Stegostoma tigrinum: one gene and its partner. The protein of the gene in region 1 purifies or fractionates together with the protein of each later gene. This does not show direct contact. Links are inferred from orthologs where the notes say so. Each region holds a gene or a part of one and is shown in the gene's direction. Other genes may lie near its edges.

Region 1 (7,624 bases):
CACACATCTTCCCATGCAATCGCAAAATGTGTCACACCTGCCCATTTACCTCCTCCTCTTTCCTTCCCCTCCAAGATCCCTGACATGCCTCCTAGATGAAGCAGCAGCTTATCTGCACTTCACTCAATCTAGTCTACTGTATCCACTGCTGATAATGTGGGCTCGTCTAAATTGGGGAGATGTAGACACAGGCTGGGTGATTACTTCGTAGAACTGTGACACTTGGTCTGCAAAAATGATTCTGAACTTCCTGTTGCCTGCTGCTTTTACACATTGCCATGTTCCCATGGCAACATTTCTGTCTTGGGCCTGCTGCAGAGCACTAACAAGCCTTAGCACAAACTCAAAGACAACATCTCATTTTCCAATTAGGGATGCTCCAGCCTCAAAGGCAACCTCTCCCCAACCTAGCTCCACCCCCAATTCCCAAACCCTTTTAAACCTTTCCCCATCTCTTCCCAATCACAATCTGTCACTGTCCCCAAACTCTCCAGCTCCCCCACAACTTTGACTCATGTCTTCTTCACTCGCAACCGCTCCCACCCTCTCCTCATCACCGCCCCATTCTCATCCCAACACAAATCTGCCCCCATTCCCAAACTCCTCAAATTCACCCCATCCCTTCCCCATTCCTGGCCTCCTTCCCAACCCCTCCCCATTCCTTCCTGGCTCTCTCCACAATGCTTCCCTTTTCCCAGCCAACTTCTCGATCCCTCACCAGCCCTGCCCTCTTCCCGACCCCTCGCCGTCCCTTCCCTTTCCTGATCCACTTCCTGACCCCTCACCATCTCTTTCCCTTTCCTGGCCCCCTTCTTGACCTCTCACTATCCCGGTCCCTTTCCTATTGCCTCCTCTTGCACGATCCCTCCTCCTTTCCTATCCCCTACCCATCCATTCCCCTTTCTTATCCCCTATCCATCCCTTCCCCATTCCCTTCCCATCCCCTCCTTCATCCCTTCCCCCACTCCATCCTTTCCCCATTCCCATCCCCTCCCCATCCTCAATACCCGCCATCCCCAATCCCTCCCATTCCCTCCTCACCATTCCCAACCCCTCCCCTCACCCATCCCTATCTCCTTCCCCATCTCTATCCCATCCCCTCATCCATATCCCCTTCCCCATCCTCCTCCCCATGCCCATCCCTTTCCCATCTGCTCCCCATCGCTTCCCGTATCCCATTCCCCATCCCATCCCTTGCCCTACCCCCATCCCCTCCCCTAACCCATTCGCCACCCCATCCCCACCCCATCTCCATTCCATCCCCTCCCAATCCCCATCCACTTGCCATCCTCATCCCATCCCCTCCCCTACACCCATCCCCTATCCATCCCTTCCCCATCTCCATTCCATCCCCTCCCAATCCCCATCCCTTCCACATCCTCATCTTCTCTCCATCCCTTCCAGATCCCCATCTCTTCCTCATCCCCAGTCCCTCCCCATCCCCTTCCCCATCCCACCCCCAGCCCCTCCAATCCCCATCGCTTCACCATCCCCATTCCACCCCCCCCGGCCAATCACCTCCCCAACACCACCCTATCCCCTCCCCTATCTGCATCCCCACCCCATCTCCATTCCATCCCCTCCCAATCCCCATCCTCACCCCTACCCTGTTCCCCATCCACTCCCCATCACCACCCCATCCCCTCCCCTATCTGCATCCCTACCCCATCTCCATTCCATCCCCTCCCAATCCCCATCCTCTCCCCATCCCTTCCACAACCTCATCTTCTCTCCATCCCTTCCAGATCCCCATCTCTTCCTCATCCCCATCCCCTTCCCCATCCCAATCCCCTCCCTATCCCAACCCCTTCCCCTCCTCACCCCTCTCCCCACACCCACTCCCACCTCTATCCCAATACCCTCCCCATCCCCACCCCATCTCCACCCCTTCTCCATCTGCACCCCAACCCCTTTGCTCACCCCTTCCCCATCCCCTTTCCATCATCATCCACATCTCTATCCTTCCCATCCCCATCCCTCCCCTATCCCCTCCCCATCCTTTCCCTTCTGCATCCCCTTCCCCTCCACATTCCTTCCCCATCCTCTCCCCAATCCCCATCTTCTCTCCATCCCTTCCAGATCCCCATCTCTTCCCCATCCCCATCCCCTGCCCATCCCCATTCCCTCCCCAATCCCATCCCATACCCTCCCTATCCCCACCCCATCCCATCTCCACCCCTTCCCCACCCCACCGTACCCCAACCCCTTCGCCCACCCCTTCCCATCATCATCCACATCCCTATCCTTCCCATCCCCATTCCCTCCCCATCCCATCCCTTCTCCATCCCCTTTGCATTCCTTCCCCATCCCCATCTTTTCTCCATCCCTTCCACATCCCCATCTCTTCCCCATCCCCAGTTCCTCCCCATCCCTTCCCCATCCCATCCCCAACCCCTCCCATCCCCATCGCTACCCCTTCCCCTCACCATTCCCACCCCTATGCCAATTCCCTTCCCCTCACCATCCCCACCCCTATGCCAATCCCCTCCCCATCCCCTTCCCTATCCCATCCTATCCCCATTCCACACCCGCACCTCATCTCTTCCCCTTCTCATCCCTTTTCCTTTCCCATCCTTTTTCCCTTTCCTATGCCCTACCCATCCTTTCCACTCCGCACACCTCCCTTACCCCTTGTCAACCCAACCCCGTCACTCCGCACACCTCCCTAACTCCTTGCCAACCCAACCCCGTCTCTCCCACATTCCCACTCCTCACCCTCCCTCCCCAACCGGTCCCTTTCTGAGCTCCGGTTACACCCTGTCCCATTCCCTCACCATCCCAGCCTCATCTTTCTCATTCCCAATCTCGTATCCCATCGAAAGTCCTCACCTTCCCGCCCCCCCCCGCTGCCCCGCCCCTCGGAATAGGCGTGGTTGATTGTATGGGCGGAGGTTGACTGAAGGTTTCGGTTTCGACAGTGGGGGCGTGACGTAATGAAAGTTCGTGACCTTTTGTTGGACACGGCAAGGGAGAGGGTTGAGCTAATGGGGAAATCATCCTTCCGTGGACGGTGTTACTGAAACCCCGCCCATTATGTAAGGCGGGGCATTTGTGGGCGCGGCCACATATGGGGGCGTGGTACTGCAATGGACGTCAACAGTGAGGGGGCGGGTCCTGATGGAGAAGTGATCAGTCAGTGGGCGGAAACAACCAAAGACTCGGGATCACAACTGGTCCAGGCGGCATCCAAGCTAATGTTTCCAGTCCAGATGACTCTTCATCAGAGCTGTAGCGAAGGGTGGAGGGTGTGGGGATGGTGGGTGTAGAGTGCTAGTCGAGAATGATCGAAATGTGAGAAAGGCAGAACAATAGTGTGTCTCACTGCCCGAGTTGAAAGAGAAGCCAGTCCCACTTGGGTGGGGGAAGAGGAGAGAGAACATGGTGACAGAATGTGACAAGATAAACAAAATGGAAAAAATGGGCGATTGTAAAAAGTAAAGCTACAAGGGAAAAAACGGAAACTGGCTCACAATTTTAAGGCTTTGAACTCAATATTAAGTCCGGAAGCCTGTAATGTGCCTCGTCTGAGGATGAGATGTCGTTCCTCCAGTTTGTGCTGCGATTCATCGGAACACTGTAGTGTCCTGAGGGTAGACAAGCGAGCATGCAGGCACTGTGTACAGACTGGAGGTGTTCGACAAATCAGTCCCAGTCTGCAGTGGAGAGACTGGCGAAGACCTTAGTCCATTCCTACCACCAACACCACACACCCTTCAAAAGGCACCTTCCCGTGTAACTGCACAAGGTGCCACACTTGCCCCTTCGCATACTACCTGCTCACCATCCAAGATCCTAAACAGTTTTTCCAGGTGAAGCAGCGTTTCAACAGTACCTGCTACAATCTTGTGTATTGCATTGTGTATTAACACCCACTTTACATTGGAGAAACCAAATGCATTCTGCGTGACCACTTCGCAGAATATTTCCAGTCTGTAAGCAAACATGATCACCACCTTCCCATGTCCTGTTTGCATGCATACTTTTCTGTCCTCAGCATGCTGTAGTGCTCCAGTGAATCAATGCAAACCAGAGGAACAACATCTCATCTTCAAACTAGGCAATTTACAGCCTTCTGGGCTTGGTATTGAGTCCAACACCTTCAAATTGTGAACCAACTCCAATTTCTTCCGTTTTGTTTAGCTTTACTTGTTACATTCTTTGTCAACATGACCTCTCTCGCCTCTGGCCACCCCTGTGGGACAGTTTTGCCTTTCAAGTCTGGCGGTTAGACACACCATTGTTCAGCCATTCGTGAATTCCAATCACTTAATCTGGGCTATCAACATCTTTTCCACACCCACAGCCCTCTCCCCACTGTTGCACAAATGCTGCCACCCTTCACTTCAGCTTTAATGACGAATCGTCTAGACTGGAAGCTTCAGCCTGCATCTCCCTCCATAGCTGCTGCCTGACCCGCTGTGACCTGCAGAACTTTGTCATTCTCAACACAAGCTCCAGCCTCTGTAGTAATTTGTTCCGAGTCAGTGGGCGGGGCCTGCAGTGGCGTTTCCTGACGATTGAAGGGGGTCGCGTGGAACGCGTGACGTCAGATACGGATGACGTTACAAACCAAGGGGCGCGGCGTGATTTCGTCAGACGCTTGTCGTCAGGCTTTGGGTTTGGACCGGGCCGAGTGCGGGGGGGGCGGGGGGGTGAAGCCAGAGCTCTGCATTCTCCTTGTATGTGGTTCACGATGGAGGCGGATTCAGTGATCGAAGATAAAAGTATTGAGCTGATGGTGAGTGAATCTCGGGGAGCGGGCTTGAGATCTCGGGGCTGGGTGGAGGAGGGGGGCTGTGGTCCTGCCAAGGGCTCCGGCACAGGCCGCACGTCCTGCCGGAGAGCCGAATGCGTTTCCATCAGATCATCGCCTCTCCCTGCGGCTCCCAGCACGAACTGCAGGAGGGGGGAAAACGTCCCAGAATCTGCGGGCGAGGAGGATGAATGTACCGGAGGGAGGTAGAACAGAGTTTGGTGGCGGCCAGGAGAAAAAATCGGATTGAAGATGGGCAGGAGCACGTCAAGGGGGTCGGGTTTAGAAAATGGGATGGACAGGAGGCTTAGAGAAACATGCAGGCAGGAGATGGAAGGTAAAAAGAAGTGTTTGTGAATGAGTCAACCCCAGCGTAGGGAGCAGGATGATCTGGAAGCTGAGGGGAGGCACTAGGGTTTGAAATAAATTAATGGTTCTGGGCAACAAGAATGGGCGGATGCAAGGAGTGTAGGAAGGGACAGTTGGGCTTGGAGTATAGAAGGAGAGCGAGGTAGTTTGGTAGAGGGTTGACTTGCAGGATGGAGGTGAGCACCATGACAGAATTGCGTGGGTAGTACAGGAATTGCTGTGCGCTTCAGTTTCACTATTGGGCGGTGGTTAGGATGTTCTGTGCGTTCAGTTTCGTTGGAAGTTTTGTGTAACCACAACTTCACATTTATATGGGTTAGCAAACTGGCTGAGAGAGTCAGTTTTGGTAAATTTTGCAATAGAGCAGTTTTGGGATAACTTGCTAGGGTGTGAAGGGAGCAAACTGTTTACTTTTGAGTGTGTCTTCCATTTTCAGTGCTAATGTCTTGTATTGAACCAAATTCATCAATTTTTATAAGGTGCATTGTCTTTGGGATTATTCCTCAGGAATGGTCAGAGAAACAGCAATATTTCTATCGAACCTGCCTCATATCTCAGTATGGCTGGATAATCAAAACCTAACACTTCCCTCAAGAGGGAAAAGACTCAATTCCTTGAGTAATTGAAGCCAGTCGTGGACATCTGTGGGGCAGCATGTTACATTTGCCACCCATGATGTGATTTTTGGGCCAGTTAGGGAGTGATCCGGTCCTCCTTGAAGACATGCAATGGGTCAGCAAGACACTTCACTGACTGGCATTGTATTTTAGAAGTGACGACTCAACTTCAAAAAATGCCTCTTATTTTGCCCCTTGTATAATGCTGGAATTGGTACTTTTGTTTAAAGTGTCAGCCACTGCTGACTTCGTCCAGTGTAGCAAGGATCTGAGCTCTCTTTTTCAAGGTGGTTTTGGGTGGGCTTGTGAAGAAAAGTGAGAAGTTGTTCATATGCAGACACACTGGCAGTGTTTCCTTGGAAAGGGACTTGCCTGACCTGTGTCTTTCTGTGAATAAGTAGGGTTTGATGCTTAGCTATACAGATTGGATTGCAGTGTAGTTGCTTGTTGGAGTTAGACTGATGCATTGAACAATGTAATTAACTCTCTTGTCCCTCTGCAAGAAGTGGGGAGGAATTTAAAGGGGTTTCTCCCCGCTGTGGTTTCTGACAGTAGCTGTGGATACCTAGGTGGGATGGGATTGAATTTAACAACCAAGTATCTTGAGGTAGATATCTGTGGAACTATACCCTCTTGTGCGGGCATCAGTAAATTAAACTGAGAGCATCAAGCTGTTGAGTAGTTTAATTGCTGGTTGTGATTGACAAGTGTCAGCAATTTAATAAAGAACAATGCAGCTCATGGTGCTTGAGATGCACCACTACAGAAGGAGACATATAATAAAAGGAACAATTGAAACATGACCAAATTGCTGGTTGAAACCATATAAGCTTATAAAAGACGCATGACTGGATTGTTATTGTGAGAAGTGTCAGTGCTGAGTGCCTCTTTGACATCTTTTCTTATTACATGTTGTCTCACAACAACAACATTTGAAAACCCAGCAATAATTTACATATACATGCTGAAAACAACCAGCTGTACCTGTCCTTGTGCTTTCCTCTCTACAGTTGCTTCACAAACAGTTTGTAAATCCACACAGTCTTTCCGACTTAAGTCAGAAGGCAATGTATGGAAATTTCTCTAGAGGTTTGAACATGTAGCCTATTTTGATACTGCAGTGCATAACTGTTGAAGGTGTCGTCTTGAGTGCAATATTAAACCTTGGTCCCATCAGTCCTTTAATATGGATGCACAAGGTCCCCAGGCTTTTTATGAATGAGGGAAGTTCTTCAGGTGTCCAGGCTTTATTGCTGTTTGTGGGATTTTGCATGCAATTGATTGTAGTTCTACATGATCACAGCGAATACATTTGAATTACATCAGGTCTAAGAAGTATCTGATGTAATTGCACCTATGTAAACAGAGAAAAAAAATCTAACTTCTCCTTTTGACAGAGATCATGAGTTGAACTTCCCTGAGCATCACACCGAGCTTCTCCCCTCTCCATAATGCCACATTTTTATCATGGCTAACCCACCTAACCTGCACATCGCTGGACACTACAGGGCAATTTTTAGTATGACCAATCCTCTTAACCTGTATGTCTTTGGATTTTGGGGGGAAAATTATTGGTTGTTCTCTCTGCTAGGAGTTGCAGCAGTGTGAAGTCCGCAGTGGTACGTGCAGACGTTCTTCAGGGTTCTTTTGCAACACTGCAAACTTTGTCATAACTAGCACTCGTGATAAACTGGCAAAAATATATATACCTCCAATTGCACTGTATTGTGATGTTTGAGTATTAATGCTATAAATAAAGGATAAAAATTATGTGTACCCCCTGCGTTGCATTTGTCACTTACTATGTTTTATGTTTAGTTTTAGAAGGCGTTTGGTATAGGTTTTTGAGGATGTTGCTATTCCAGAAACTTCACTTGGTCAAGGT
Region 2 (7,015 bases), on another chromosome or scaffold:
CAGGTAATACGCTGGTAAAGCCTCGTTTGCACTTTCTCCAAAACCTCGACATAGTTTCTAAAGTACGGGAACCAGAAATGCATACAATACTCCACATGTGGCCTAAATAAAACAGCAAGGAAAAAAGACTTGCATTTGTATAGCACCTGCCATAGCCTCGAGATGTCCACAATTGTTTTACAAAAAAGGAATTATAATTACAAAAGAAAAGTTGTATTTTTATAAGTTTCATGACCCTGGCCATCCCAATGGGGTAGAAACTGTTCTAACCCAGCAGCTCCAATTTGTACACAGCACGATTCCATAAACAGTATTGTGGCAAATGACCCAGATACTGTACTCAGTTTCTGTGATGTTTAGAACCGGCCTTCATTTCCTCTTCAGTATGGTGCCATGGGATTTTCCACATTTACCCTGAGAGATGAGGACTGTGGTTTAATGCCTGATCCGATGACAGCATCTCTGATGGCACCACAGTTCCCCAATGCTGCTGAGGGAGTTTCAGTCTTAGATAACAAGCTGTACAGCTGGATGAACACAGCAGGCCAAGCAGCAGAGGAGCAGGAAAGCTGATGTTTCAGGTCTAGGTCCTTTTTCAGAAAGCGTTTTAGTGTTGGTGGTTTTGCCTGAGTCCTGAAGTGTGACTGAGTCACATCTGACAATATAGGAAATGAACATAATAACAGCGTGCACCGCAAGAACACATTGCACAACAAAAGCAACTTGTACTTGTGTAGCATTTTGGCCAAAGAAAATGGCCCCAGCATTTACGGCAGGGTTACCAAATACAAGGATACATTAGGACAGGTGACCAAGCACTTGCCCAAAGGGATCATTATAAGAGATGGTCATGGAAATAATGAGAATAGGAGTAGACCATTCGACCCTTTGACCATGCACTGCCATTCAGTATGATCATGGCTGATTATCCAACTCAGTCCCCGTTCTCCTCCATACCCTCTGATCCTTAGGAATTGTATCTAACTCCTTCTTGAAAGCACTTACTGTTTTGGCCTCAACTGGTTTCCATGGCAGAGAATTCCATGGGTTCACAACTCTCTGGGTGTAAACAATTCTCTTCATCTCAGCCCTAAAAAGGGAGAGACTGAGAGGAAGGTGAAGGGTTTTGTTTTAAACTCACTCATGGGAGGCAAATTTGAAGAACAACATCTTATCTTCTGCCTGAGCACCCTACAGCCTGGGGTACTCAGCACTGAGTCCCAAATGTCAATTTCAAATAACCTTCCCACCCATCCCCTGGCTCCCTTTCCAGCCCCTTCCGTTGCTCCCTTCCGTTCCACCTACTGACCCTCCCCAACAGCCATCAACTGGATTCATCCCTCCCATCGACCAACCCCAGGTCATACCCACTACCAACATTCTGCCTCCACCCCACCCCCCCTCTTTATCTGCAGCTCCCCCTATCCCCACATCCAGCCCTGAAGAAGGGTAATACCCGAAACATTGACTGCTCCTTTCCTCCAGATGCTGCCTGGCCTTCTGTGTTCTTCCAGCCTCCAGTTTGTCTACCTTGGATTCCAGCACCTGCCGTTTCTTTGTCTCTTGCAGAGGTGGTATCTGCTGTCCTTGTCCTTCTGGGTGGAAGTGGTCATGGGTTTGGAAGATGCTGTCAAAAGGATTTTTGGTGAAATTTTGCAGTGCAACTTGTAGGTATTACATACTGCTGCTGCTGAGTGGTGGTGGTGGATGGGAGCGAATATTTGTGGATATTGTGCCAATCAAGTGTGCTGCTTTTCCCTGGGTGGTTTCAAGTTTCCTGGGTGTTGTTGGAACTGCATCCATCCAGGCAAGTGGAGAGTATTCCATCACACTACTGACTTGTGTCTTGTAGATAGTGGACAAGCTTTGGGGAGCCAGGAGGTGAGTTACTTGCTGCAGTATCCCTAGCCTTAATCCTGCGTTTATAGCCAAAGTAGATATATGGCTAGTCTAGTTCAGTTTCCAGTCAATTGTAACTCATAATACTGATAGTGTAGGGCTGAGTGGAGGTAATGCCTTTGAAAGTCAAGGTGCGATGGATAGATATTATCTTGTTATAAACGGCTACAGTGATGTATCGGGGATAATAGGAACTACAGATGCTGGAGAATCCGAGATAACAAGGTGTAGAGTTGGATGAACACAGCCAGCCTAGCAGCATCTTAGCAGCAGGAAAGCTGACGTTTCATGCCTAGACCCTTCATCAGAAAAGGGCCCGGGCCCGAAACGTCAGCTTTCCTGCTCCTGAGATGCTCCTTGGCCTGCGGTGTTCATCCAGCTCTACACCTTGTTATCTTTGGTGATATGGTGTGAATGCTCCTTCTGGTTAGGGGAAAAAGAATTCAGAGCGTAGGGCCTTGGCAACAGAAACACTGCTGCCAAAGATGGAGAAGTTAACATTGAGTACATGCAAATGGCTAGTCCCAGAGAGTTTGTAAATCCTGCCATGGCTTAACTGAGAACCCATGTAGATTTGTGAGTGTATAGTAGTGCTGATCTGTAAGGAAAGGTTTGAAATAGGTAGGATTGTAGTTTGAAAGATTGGATGGGGTCAAGGGTCTAATGGTAGTAATTGTGAAGTTTACAGAGAGGCATTAGGAGGTCAGGTCTGGTGTGGAATGGTGTGTGGTAGGCCTGATGCTGAGGGAGGGGCAGTCAGGGAGGAATGATGGTGAGGGCAGGTGTTCTGGAAAGAGACAGGGTGGAGGTGCCTGGGGAGGGAATGAGTTATTCCGGAGATGGCAACTGGATGTGTGTGGGGAGGAGGGTTCTGGTGAGGGCTAGGGGTTTTAGGAATGATAATGGCGGGGATTCAGGGAATAGAATGGAGATCTGGGTGTGTGTGAGAGTGGGGAACAAGGTTGGGTGGGGGGGAAGGGATCTGTGGAGGCTCGGGATGAGGCGTAGCTGAGCTTCCAGGAAAAGGTGTTACCTAGGGCGGGGAGAAGAGGCTTGCGGTGGCAGGAGGGTGTGTGGGGTGAGAGCTGGGGAGGGGGGAAGGGGGCAAGTTTCAGTTTCGGGGGTAGAACTGGCAGGGGAGGGGTATTTGGAAAAGACCATAAGCAGGAATGATCCAGATGGGTGATAGAATGGGGTTAACACTAGAGATAGACTATCACTGCGATGAAGGGGGTGAGGGGGGCGCAGCGAAGGCAGGTCGTTCTGTGGGCTGGGGGTTCTGAAGCATGGGGGAAGGTGTCTGCAGCACTGTAGTATGTTATATTCTTAACAGACCATGTCCTAGTGAACTCTCCCATCCCGAACATTCCCCCTTGCCCCCACCACATCCATGGAAACAAGCCAATCACACTATGTGTGATAACAAGGTGTAGAGCTGGATGAACACAGCAGGCCAAGCAGCATCTTAGGATCAGGAAAGCTGACGTTTCGGGCCTAGACCCTTCCAATCACTGTGTGTGTGTGGGTGTGCTTAATCTGAGCGAGGACCAGGGGACTTTGCAGAGAGAACATCAGGAGATTTATAAAGCCCCCGCCACTAACACTACACTACTCCAGATCTGGAAGGTGACACGAAGTCTGAGCTCCAACAGAACTGTAGCGGGATAATAAAATGTGAGGCTGGATAACTGTAGCGGGCTTGTTTGCTTGTCTGTAGCACCAGTCTAGACTGATTTGCAAACTTTGCAGCCGGTTAGCTGGGAAAACAAAGCCAGGGGAGATAACGACCCTGACATGATCCCAAAACAAAATTAAAATACACCTAGTGGAGAGATTGAAACATTGTGACTAGTTGTTTCTCTCTCTGCCGAGATTAAATATCATTTGTGCCACTGTGATTCAGTCAGTGGAACAAAATCCCCACCCCTTTCTCTTTTTGCCTTACAAAGGACACAAACATTACAGGTCCTTTTCACACCTTATTGTCAACTGATTTATTCCGGGTTTTGGGCGACTTTTAGCCGGTGCTAGATCTACAGGAAATCGAACTGCAGTCTAATCGCTGAAACTTGACGGAGGGGTTGGTCAGTAATGACTTCATCCCTTACAGTTGTGGGTGTGAGCTGTCGATTTGCAACATCTGATTTGCCAACAAATTATTTATTGTATACCAGCAATCAGCCCCAGCGTACAAGAGAATAGTTAAGTCGCTGCTACTCGGGCAGTTTCTCTCTCCCTTTCTCACAGTGGGACTTTTTTTTTCCGCTTGGAGAATCCAGAGCCGAAAAGTCTGGGGAGAAATAAAGAAGTGAGAGAGGAGGGACTTCATGTACAATGTCAATCGGCCAGGAGCCAATTCCGCTCGAATTGAGGAGAGCTGACAGCAAGGCACGGCTCTGAGTCCCAGCTATTTCTTAGTGCAGAGAGGGGAAACTGCATGAGGGACTGTGTCAGTTAGCCTTGGGTTTAGCGCTGAACATTGTACACTTCTGTTCCGGCTTTGTATCTGTGTGTGTGAGAGAGAGAGACACAGGGAGAGCTGGTGGAAGGAGCCTGTTGCAGATGACGTGGACTAGCACTATGAGCAGCGGTTACAGCAGTTTGGAAGAGGACTCTGAAGAGTATTTCTTCACTGCAAGAACTTCCTTCTTCAAGAAGCCTCAAGTTAAACCCAAACCTGATGAGGTAAGTGCAGTGTTTCTTCGGTAACTATATGCTGGAAGGCAATGTTGGCAGAAAGAGTGGAGGTTTGGAGTTGAGGTGTACCAGTTGGTAAAAGCGGGGGTGGTGAGCTACCCATTTGCCTTAAAACCATTGCAAAAGCTAAGGCACAGTGACAGTGCACAATGACTGTGTTAGGTGTGTATAACTTTTGAAGTGTTCTCCTCCCAGGTGACTGGACTTTGTGCATTGCCCGGCATCTGGTCATGCGCTGGTGTACACTTAAAAAGATTTTATTATCTGATGTAATTGCTGATTGTGTTTGCGGCATTCTGCCCTACGAAGTGCAGTAAAAGTGTTATACTGATGGGGTTGTCCAATACAGATCTGCTGCTGCAATGAATGTGACACAGCTCGCATAAAACCACAGAATCGTGGATGTCAGGATATGGAGGTGTGCTGTGAGAGGTGACTATTTGATTCACTAGTTTGAGGTTACACGCAGCATGCTGTGTACTCATATCCAGCTGTAGAGTGGTAGGTTAGCTCTGGTTTAATTCGTGTGCAAGACTAACGTCAGATGTGACCGTCAAGACTTAAGACTCAAATAAAGTCGAAAAGCCGAAAGAGCTGGAGCAGATGCTGGAAATCCGAAACAGAAGTTGCTGGAAAACCTCAGCAGATCTGGCAGCATTTGTGGAGAGACAGAAGAGTTAATGTTTCGGGCTGGGAGAGAGGCCTCTGTTCTCTTGCAATGGCACGGTCTGAACGGTCACTTTCTGTGACGTTAAAACTCTTTTGCTGTTCCCTTGCAGAGAAATCATAGAACCGTACGGTGTGGACGTAGGCCATTTGGCCCCTCAAGTCCACACCAACCCTGCGAAGTGCATCCCTCAAAGACCCGCCCCACTACCCCAGATTTCCCATGGCTAATCCACCCAGCCTGCACATCCCTGGACGGTACGGGCAGTTTAGCACAGCCAATCCACCTAACCTGCGCATCTTTGGACTGTGGCAGGAAACCCGGGCAGAATGTGCAAACTCCACACAGTCACCCAAAGCCAGAATCAAACCTGGGCCCCATGGAACTGTGAGTCAACAGTGCTAGCTACAGTGCCACTCCAGGAGTTTGGCTCATGCTAGATTGTCGTTCTGTACGCATCCCTAGTCCAGCCAACGCATTGCTGAGCCTCCCACATGCGATCGCAGGCTTTCAGTCCTCCAAACCTACTCTGCCATTCATTTAGATAACAGTCTCAAAGTCTCATTTTGAAACGAACAAGGCACTTCCACATAATAAAAACTGAAAGAACTGCGGATACTGCAAATCAGGAACAAAAACAGCAGTTGCTGGAAAGGCCGAGGAGGTCTGGCAGCATCTGTGAAGAGAATAATCAAAGATAATGTTTCTGGTCTGATGATCCGTCCTCAGAACGCGAAATCAAAGCACCATCTTTACCTCCATTTTCAGCTGGACGCCGCTAACCCTGGGGTGGAAGCAAGACTGAGCCAGATCTCTGAAGAAGGGCCCTGACCCAAAACATCAACTTTCCTGCTCCTCTGATGTTGCCTGGCCTGCTGTGTTCCTCCAGCTCCACGCTGTGTTATCTCTGACTCTAGCATTGTCAGTTCTTACTATCTCTGAAAAACGTGGCCTGGTCCTTTTGAGAATTTGGTTGCCCAGAGGCTTCCATTGTCTGTTGAATGCACACCTTCAGCAAAATTAGGAGCTAAGTGAAAGAGGGTCCTCATCTTGTATCATCTCCCAAAATGAAATGAAAATGAAATTGCTAATAAACTGAATTCTACTTCAGTTTACCAGCATCCACAATATTTCCCTTTGTAATAAAACAATTCTCATTGGCCTCAATTTAAGAGGCTAGATGTCACACTTCTGCATGAGTGTTGACCAAGTATTTTGCCATGTAGTGTGTGTCGCACATTTTAATGAACTTTATCATACACATTAGAAGCAAATATATATTGATTCATTCATTGAATCACTGCTTTGGTCAAGGCTGATGGTAAAGAGCATTAAGGATATTGCACTTTCAGATTAGTGATGTGACATGATTCCAGCTAAACTGCAGGTTACATTGTCCCTCATGTGACTTGAGACTTTGCTGCTTGTCTAGAGTTTGCAATCCTTTGGGGAAAGTATTATTCAGGTATTCTTGCAGCAAACTGTATACAGGTTAAAGAGTGCTGCTCCTTCAGTGACGCAAGACAAAGGACATCCTGCATCAGAAAACAAAGGCAGAATGGATATTGCACCATGTGTTATCTCAGAGAGGTCCAGTAATGACCTTCACATTGGGCCAAGTACCAGGGGTGGGACTGGGGTTGGGGGGTGTGTGGTTTGTGCATAGTGCAGAAAGAGAATGATCAATTAGTTTTCATTTGGTTGAGGTAGGAATGTTGCTTAAGGAAATCCGATCTTTTCTAATTATTTTCC

The links. The genes of interacting proteins can lie anywhere in the genome.
Region 2: the proteins of F-box/WD repeat-containing protein 11 (region 1) and rassf3 purify together in Homo sapiens (affinity purification with mass spectrometry; 4 studies listed by BioGRID and IntAct, with this or other methods). This does not show direct contact. The link is inferred for Stegostoma tigrinum from reciprocal best matches to the Homo sapiens genes FBXW11 and RASSF3.

Annotation. Positions count from the first base shown.
Region 1 is NC_081366.1:65,882,537-65,890,160, forward strand, and holds the start of F-box/WD repeat-containing protein 11, read left to right. Parts: upstream 1-4,611; 5' UTR 4,612-4,681; coding exon 4,682-4,738; intron 4,739-4,939; exon of another isoform or gene 4,940-4,944; coding exon of another isoform or gene 4,945-4,959; intron 4,960-7,624.
Region 2 is NC_081371.1:51,843,038-51,850,052, reverse strand, and holds the start of rassf3 (ras association domain-containing protein 3), read left to right. Parts: upstream 1-3,997; 5' UTR 3,998-4,461; coding exon 4,462-4,584; intron 4,585-7,015.